Pelodiscus sinensis: one gene and its partner. The protein of the gene in region 1 interacts with the protein of each later gene in a pairwise test. Links are inferred from orthologs where the notes say so. Each region holds a gene or a part of one and is shown on either strand. Other genes may lie near its edges.

Region 1 (3,744 bases):
TTTCCCATCTTCTCCGGTCCCAATTGCGATCTGACCCTTAAAATATTGATCACCTTTGTCAGATCCTTTTCGGAAACTCCCCTGCTCGCTCATCCTTTCACTCGCACGAAGCCAGCAGCAGCTGACAGCCAAGCATGTGGGGGTATAAATATTGAAATAAATGAGTCGGAGGGAGGGGGGAGGGAAGGAAAAAGAGAGTGTGTGTGTACGCGCGTGGAGGGGGGGGTGATCGGTGCTCCTGTGAGGGGCGCTGCTCTCCAGGAGCGGATGGGAGGGAAGGGGGGGGGGGGAGGCAAGATAATAGCATTAAAAACAACAACCAGCAGCAGCCCAACAACAACAGTGATTAGCTCCTACCCATCGCACAGGGGCTGGGAGGGGATTATCTGTCTCTCACCTGACTTCCTCCTCCACCGCGAGCCGGGGGGAGGCAGAGACACGCGCGCACACAAACCACTCTCCCCAACTCAGCCCCAAAACACACCGGCCAGAAGAAGGGGACCGAGCAAGCGCCAGACGCACACCCGGCTCCCGCGGCTGCGGCTCCCGGCTCCGCTCTACGCCGGCGCTCAGCCTCTCCCCGCCCTAGCCCGGCTCTGCCGCCACCGCGCACCCGGGGAGGGCAGCAGCAGCAGCAGCAGCAGCCGCCGCGGCTCAGCTCGGCTCCGGCACAGGCGCGAGCAGCGTCCGCCAGGGGGAGAGAGGCAGCGAGACACGGCGCACGGGTGCGGAGCCTCCGGCCGAGCTCCGCTCGCTCGCTGGAGCCTGCGCCCGGCGTCCTTCCCCGCCCAAGGGCTCCAGAGAGAGGAAGCCGGGCACACGCCGGCCCCGCGCTGGTACCTTGCTGCCGACCCCGGCTGCTCCTGAGGAGCTGCTCGGCAACGGGGGCGGGCGGGCGTGCGTGGCTCCCCCCCTCCGCCTCTCCGTCCTCTAGACGCCCACTCCCGATGGGGGAACAGACAACTTGAACTTCAGCGCGATTAACTTCGCCGCCGCCTGGGAAGCTGAAGGTGTCGCCCAGCCTCGCCCGCGGCGCTCTCATGAGTGAGTAGGTCTCTTTTCCTCCTTCTCCGGTTTCCCGCCCCCCCCCAGCGCGCCTCGGGTCTTTTATTAAGTCACGTTGTGGGTCGGAGCACTGCTCGGGAGCGTGGAGGGGAAGCCCTTCCCGAGCCGGGCTCCACACACCTGCTGCCTTGGCAGGGCTGCGTGCCATAAACGCGGGGTGTGCGTGGGGGCGGGGGGAGTCTTGCCTCGGCTCCGGCTGCTGAACCCCTGCGGAGGGGCAGAGCCGAAGTCACTGGCCCGGTAGCCCCCTTCCCCTAAAGGCAAGTTCCCTGAAAGTTTGGCAAACTTCCCCCCACGTTCCCCTGAGAACGCGCTGGGCTCGGGAGGTGCCAGCCGCCTTGGCGACAGGTTGCCTGGGTTTGGCGCGCTGCGAAGATGCATTTGTTAAACGTGCGTGGGCTGGGTTGTGTTGAGGGGCACTTGGCCGACGTGTTTAACCTGAAACGCAAAGTTGTTGAAGACCGTGTGTTGCGAGGCTTCATGGGGGAAGGGGGAGGAGAGAGGCGGAAAAGATCAACTTTGGCAGTGATCTCTGAGAGGGGAAGGTTTCTCCTCGCAGCACGCGTCGTGGCAGCTGGCGTGTCAGTGACCTTAGTGGTGAGGAAGCACAGTAAGCCCAGGTACGCTATCTCTTCTCCTCTGCACCTCCTTCCCCTGGCGTTCTCCATTTCAGATCTGGTTTGGTCCATGAAGAGGCAGCGAAGGGCCCACAGGGGAACAGGCACTTAGACAATCCCCCCTAAGTTGGTAGTTTTAAGTACGTTAGCCAAAGCGTCCCACCGAGATACTGCCAAAGTTTAAAAGACCCCAGAGCCTCATTTGAAACGACGTTTTGCAATCTATATAAGGTTCATTTAGTTCAAAGGAAAATAATTCAAATCAAGTATTTTATACCTTAGATATTTTTAAAAGTCCAACAGAAAACTTCCTCTAATAATCACATTTTTGGTGAAATCTTTGATTAGTTCTAGGGTGAAGAACCAATGACAGACACCTGCAAGTTTCCAAGTTTTATACTGCTAGTCCCAGAAATCTAAAGTGCTTAGGTTACTGACAGAGAAACCCTTATTATCCCATTGAAAACTTGTGTTAAAATATTTTACAACAGCTTTTCACCCAAAATGAAGAAAAAAATGGAAAAAGCCAATAATCAGTTTTATTCAGTCAAACCTAATGTAATTGTCCTATGGAAATAATTCACAATTTCAGATTCAACAGCTCTAAGGTTCTAGTAGTAGACAGTACTAGGGTTAGCAGCAGGATTTAGCAGCAGCCCTTTATTTCTACTTTATATCATTTGGTATAGTACATTAGTATATATTTGTCTGCTTCAGTATGCTGGCAAACATTAGCATTCAAGCTTACATTTTTGACAAATGTGCAGACAGGAATAGCATGAATAAGCATCTTAAATATTAACAACCTAAGCATCTGTTGTGAAACAAATTTAATATATTTACTCTGTTTTTCTCACATTGTTAGAAAAGGTTACAATAAGTGTAAAATTGTAATGTTAGTTAATACAGGGATTGGATTGGATATTTCCCTATCTCTTCAAGTCTTTCAAGCAATCACCAGATATAACGATATTAATTCTGGTGCATTATTTTATAAAGAAAGTTGAACTGTATGCATACTGTGTAAAGACTTGAATATAGTACAGTGGCTGTAATGTGCATCGTATACACTTACAGTGTTAATATTATGTATACACTTTATATACACATTTCCTATTTCAGATTTTAATATCTCCCTTATCAAGTGGAAATATTTTATACACAAATGTGTAAACATGTACAGTAAAAAGTGAATGTAAAAAGATAGCGTATGTATGCATACATATGTTTTGTGTATATACATATCAATTGATAGCCCACATACATTACAAGGCTCTATAACAAAAATAAAATCATTGTCTGCAGTTGTACCCCGTCCTGAATACCAACAGCTAATGTAAAAGAAACAACTGACTTCAAGGAATTCCTCTTTTCCCTGGAAAAACAGTAATCTAAGTAAAACAAGAACATAGAGGGAAGTCTCCAAAAAGCCTGTATAGTATTTTCTTTCTAGAATCAGTGCATTCCTCCTTTTCCCCACAAGTGCAAATGTGTAATAAATAATAGTTCTTTGTATGCAAAATGAGTTTACTGGGACAAAAATATTTAAGTGGAATGTTTTTTGTTCATGCATTTTTAAAAAGTTAGTTTCTTTTTTTATATTCTTTGTTCTTGAACTGTTAAATAGCTAAGTTACTCCACAAGCATTCCTCCTTGTCTTCTGTTCTTTTAACAAGACCTATCTAAGGATAAGTCCCCTTGATACTTATTTCTGAGAGAGAAATATAAAACAGGCAAAGTCAATCTGTGATTTGTTAATGGTACATGTTGATTTGCAGAGTAAGAAGAAAGAGAGAATCTCCCTAATTAGCCAAAGATTGTAATAATCATTTTTATCTGAACAGGTTACCGTTTGCAGTGTAGGCCCATAAGGTCACCTGATAAGCACCTGTCCCTGTATTATTATAGAGATCTTGTGGTTACAAATAGTACTAAACTAAATACAAGGTGCTGTCTTCAAAGCACCATAATTCTCTAATACAAAATTCCAAAGGGATGTAGGCAGGTGTGCCCTTTCAAACCACAGAAGTGTTTCTCTGACATGTAATCAAGTCATAGATAA
Region 2 (3,744 bases), on another chromosome or scaffold:
AAGTGGGTCTGGCCACGAAGCTCATCATATAATAAACCATCTTATTAGTCTTTAAAGTGCTACATAGTCCTGTATTTTGTTTCAGCTACACCAGACTAACACGGCTACATTTCTATCACTTAGGAATTCAGACTGCCACTATGCCAAGCTTCTTGTTTTGGGTAGAGTGTTTTAGTTTTCAAATTATTATTATATTATTGCAAAAGGTAAATAATTATAGTGGTTGAATATTTCTGTATTAGAGAGGGTATTGTCAGTTGGGTATTTCCACAAAAGATCAAGATGTTGATCATAGTAGTTAGATCAGCAGTCCCCAACACGGTGCCCGCGGGTGCCATAGCAGTTAGATCATCAGTCCCCAACACCATACCCGCGGGGGCATTTGTGTGCACCCGCCAAGTGCTCGGGGCTGGCCTGGCCCATGGCACATGCATGGTGCCAGAGCCGGCCTCGGGCACACGGCGAGAGCCGACCCCGGGAGCGCTGCGGATTGGCCGCCCGCGCTCTGGGCGCATGGCGCTTGGGGGGGGGGGGGGGAGCGCCGGCCCTGGGCACGCGGCGCTTGGGGTGGGTGGGGAGCGCCAACCCCGGGCGCGCAAGTGCCCCCGCCCTCTGGCACCTGGCGGGCGAACGGCCACGCCCCCTGGTACCCGGCAACCTCCAATGGTTGGGGACCACTGAGTTAGATGTCATATAACAGTGGTTTTTTATATAAATTTTTAAAGGTGGCTAATTTTCTAGCATCTGATCAGGTTGACCACCCTATTAATTCTACTATTATTTTTGTTTTCTATACTACCACCAGTAATTGTGATGTAAGGAAAGTGTATTAATGATGTAGCAAATACACTTGAACCTCTTCAATCTTGCAACTCTGGGAAACATGGTATGTCAGTTTAGGGTATTTTTCAGAACACGGAGGGCAGGAGGGGGCTAGAGGTGGGGCGCTTACCTGGTGCCCTGCTCCTGGTGGCACACATGGGTTCATGCCCCTTACCCTGCCAGTACAGGAGTCTCCATAGAAGCTTCTCACTGTCCTGCCATTCCCCTAGCTAGGGGTAGAGGATTCTCAGCACATAGAACCACCACCTCCTCCCGACTGCAGGGTCCTACCACAGTTGTTCCCAGATCAGGAACACCCAGAGGTTCAAGTGTAATGTACGCCAAAAATCTATGTTAAAATAATGTTAAAGTTGCAAAGTTGCTACTTGCTGCAAAGTTGGAAAATGCTAGAATTCAGCCCCCTTCTGCACATGCATTTTGATAGTCTTTAATTACCAGCCTAAACTCCCTCACACTCCTCCCACCAACTTCTGAATCTCATCTGATCTCAGTCTAAATTGCCCTCACACATCACCTTGATCTAGTCACCTTACCTAGTCAATTTCAATTTATTCCGTAGCTACTTGCCCAGCCAGTCCCCATCCATCCCACTGCTCCGAAACCCTATACCTCTCTCAGTTACTACCCTTCACCAAACAGTCCCCCCTGCCACCCACCACAGCTCCAGGCTCCTTAACCCGCTCTACGCCTTCTCCCTGCCCACCTAGATCTGGTTCTGCCAACCCGCCAGATTGGAGGCAGGCTGCTCTTGCTCCAGGCTGGTGAACACAGGCCGAGGGAACGCTGACAGCCCGGGAGTTCCAGTATTTAACCGTGAAACTCACAGGTCTCCACCGAGCACGTATGAACGGAATTATTGCCCCAAACTTGAAACCTTCCCAGATTTGTACGCTCCCCTTCTGCCCCGGAACCAGCACCGGGCCCACCCCTGCCACGGGGCCAAATTCCAAACCCGGAGGCGCTAGCGCTTCCCAGCAAAGCAGAAAGACGTTTCCTTCCCCAGGCTCGACCCAGGCTCCCTCCCCCCGGGCCGCTTACTCACCGCGGCGCCGCTGTCCGGGGCGGGCGGCTCCCCCTCGCCGCGGGACTGCCCCGCCTCCGCCGCTTTGAGTCGCTGGCGGCGGCAGCGGCCGGGGCTGGGCCCCGCCCGCGGCTCTTGCCCCCCATGACGAAGGCGGCGGCGGCGGCCCTGGTCTGTGAGGTAATTGAGCGGGTCAGCCATGACAGCCGCGGCCCGGCCACCCGCTCGCTGCACAAGGAGACGGCCGGGCCCTGGGCAAGACGGAAACCCCGCAAGGGCTGCTGGGACCGGAAACGGCTTGGAGCTCGGAACTCCACGACTTCCAGCGCCTCCCGCGCAGAACGCTGACCACGTGACCGCCATCTTAGGTGCGGGCGGCATCGTCCCAGAGATACTTCACTGCCCGCCAATCCAGCGCGCTTCGCTTCCGGGCCCAACCAACGATAGCGGTTGGGAGCACGTGCCCGTCCAGCTCCGTCTCCTTGGTGATCTCCCTTGGCCCCGCCCCTACGCGGTTCTTGCTGCCAGCGCCATGGCGCCGTTAAGCCACCGCGCCCGACACAGGCTTTACTCGCTGGTAGGCGCCTGCGTCGCCCCCGGCCCGGCCCCGCCTGGGGGAACGGACGCGGCTCGCGCCTGAACCGCCCCCCCCTCCAACGCCAAGGACCCGGAGAGCCCGGCCCAGCTGGGCGGCCAGTCCCGTCTGCGGTTCCTGCCCGGAGCCACGAACCCCCCTGCTCGCGCGGGCCGCCCCCACCCGCAGCACCGCCCCCTCGCACCCGCCTTTCCCTAGTGTCGGGTGGGCGCCGCCACTCTTCCGCCGGGCCGGTGAAAATCGTCCTCATCGTGAGAAGGGTTTAAAGATCCGACCCCTGTTCACGGGCAGGTGCGCGTGCACCTGGGCAATGCACAGCGGCACCTTTCCCAACACTGAAGCAAAATGCAGGACAATGTAGCACTTTAAAGACTAACAAGATGGTTTATTAGATGATGAGCTTTTGTGGGCCAGACCCACTTCCTCAGATCAAATAGTGGGTCTGGCCCACGAAAGCTCCTAATCTAATAAACCATCTTGTTAGTCTTTAAAGTGCTACATTGTCCTGCATTTTGCTTCAACTACCCCAGACTAACACGGCTACATTTCTATCGCTTTCCCAACACTGTGTTTTCTTCTGACAGATTCTTCTCGCCATTGTATTACTCTCCTGGGGATACGTTATCTACGCATCAAGAATAGCAGCGCAGTGGCAACTTGAAAAGGATTATCCCACTCAATGGCTGAATTTGTAAAGGAAATATTAAAGACTGACAGCATCTGGATTTTCACAACTAAACACTGAAAACCAACTAGGAAGGCAGAAAATGACTTATTCCGGCATAACAATTTCAGATGTTATGACTTGACCCCATAATTCAACTTTGATAGGCTTAAAGAAAAATCAAACTTACACAATTAAGAGAATCCACAGAAATATGAGCAATTTATATAGTGAGACACTTTTTTAAATAAGCCAATTTAGAAAACGAATACCATACCAAGAAGCAGCCAAGGAAGAATTGTACACCAAGTATATGTTCTGTTGTCTCTTCTTTTACAGACTCAATGTCTTTGGTAAAGATTGTGCAATGTTTAAAATATAGTACATGTTTTAATCTATTGGTATGGCATTAGTTAAGGATGACAACATATTTTTTTCAGCTCACATCAATACTAGGGATGGAGAAGTAGTCGAACAGTTGACTACCCTGTAAGCTTAGACTTATTGGCTAGTCAAGTTGACTACTCGCAGTTCCCCCCATCTTGCTGCCTCTATGTATTTAAAGGCAGAGGTGCAGTGGGGATAGTCAGTGCCCTCCTCCCCCTTATTGACTAATTGAGT

Evidence for each region.
Region 2: the proteins of SATB1 (region 1) and TOPORS interact in a two-hybrid assay, tested with the Homo sapiens proteins (2 studies listed by BioGRID and IntAct). The link is inferred for Pelodiscus sinensis from reciprocal best matches to the Homo sapiens genes SATB1 and TOPORS.

What each region holds. Positions count from the first base shown.
Region 1 is NC_134712.1:192,365,411-192,369,154, forward strand, and holds the start of SATB1 (DNA-binding protein SATB1), read left to right. Parts: upstream 1-909; 5' UTR 910-1,040; coding exon of another isoform or gene 1,041-1,044; intron 1,045-3,744. UniProt on the Homo sapiens protein: Crucial silencing factor contributing to the initiation of X inactivation mediated by Xist RNA that occurs during embryogenesis and in lymphoma.
Region 2 is NC_134716.1:11,370,295-11,374,038, reverse strand, and holds the start of TOPORS (E3 ubiquitin-protein ligase Topors), read right to left. Parts: upstream 2,408-3,744; 5' UTR 2,246-2,407; coding exon 1,886-2,245; intron 1-1,885. UniProt on the Homo sapiens protein: Functions as an E3 ubiquitin-protein ligase and as an E3 SUMO1-protein ligase. Probable tumor suppressor involved in cell growth, cell proliferation and apoptosis that regulates p53/TP53 stability through ubiquitin-dependent degradation.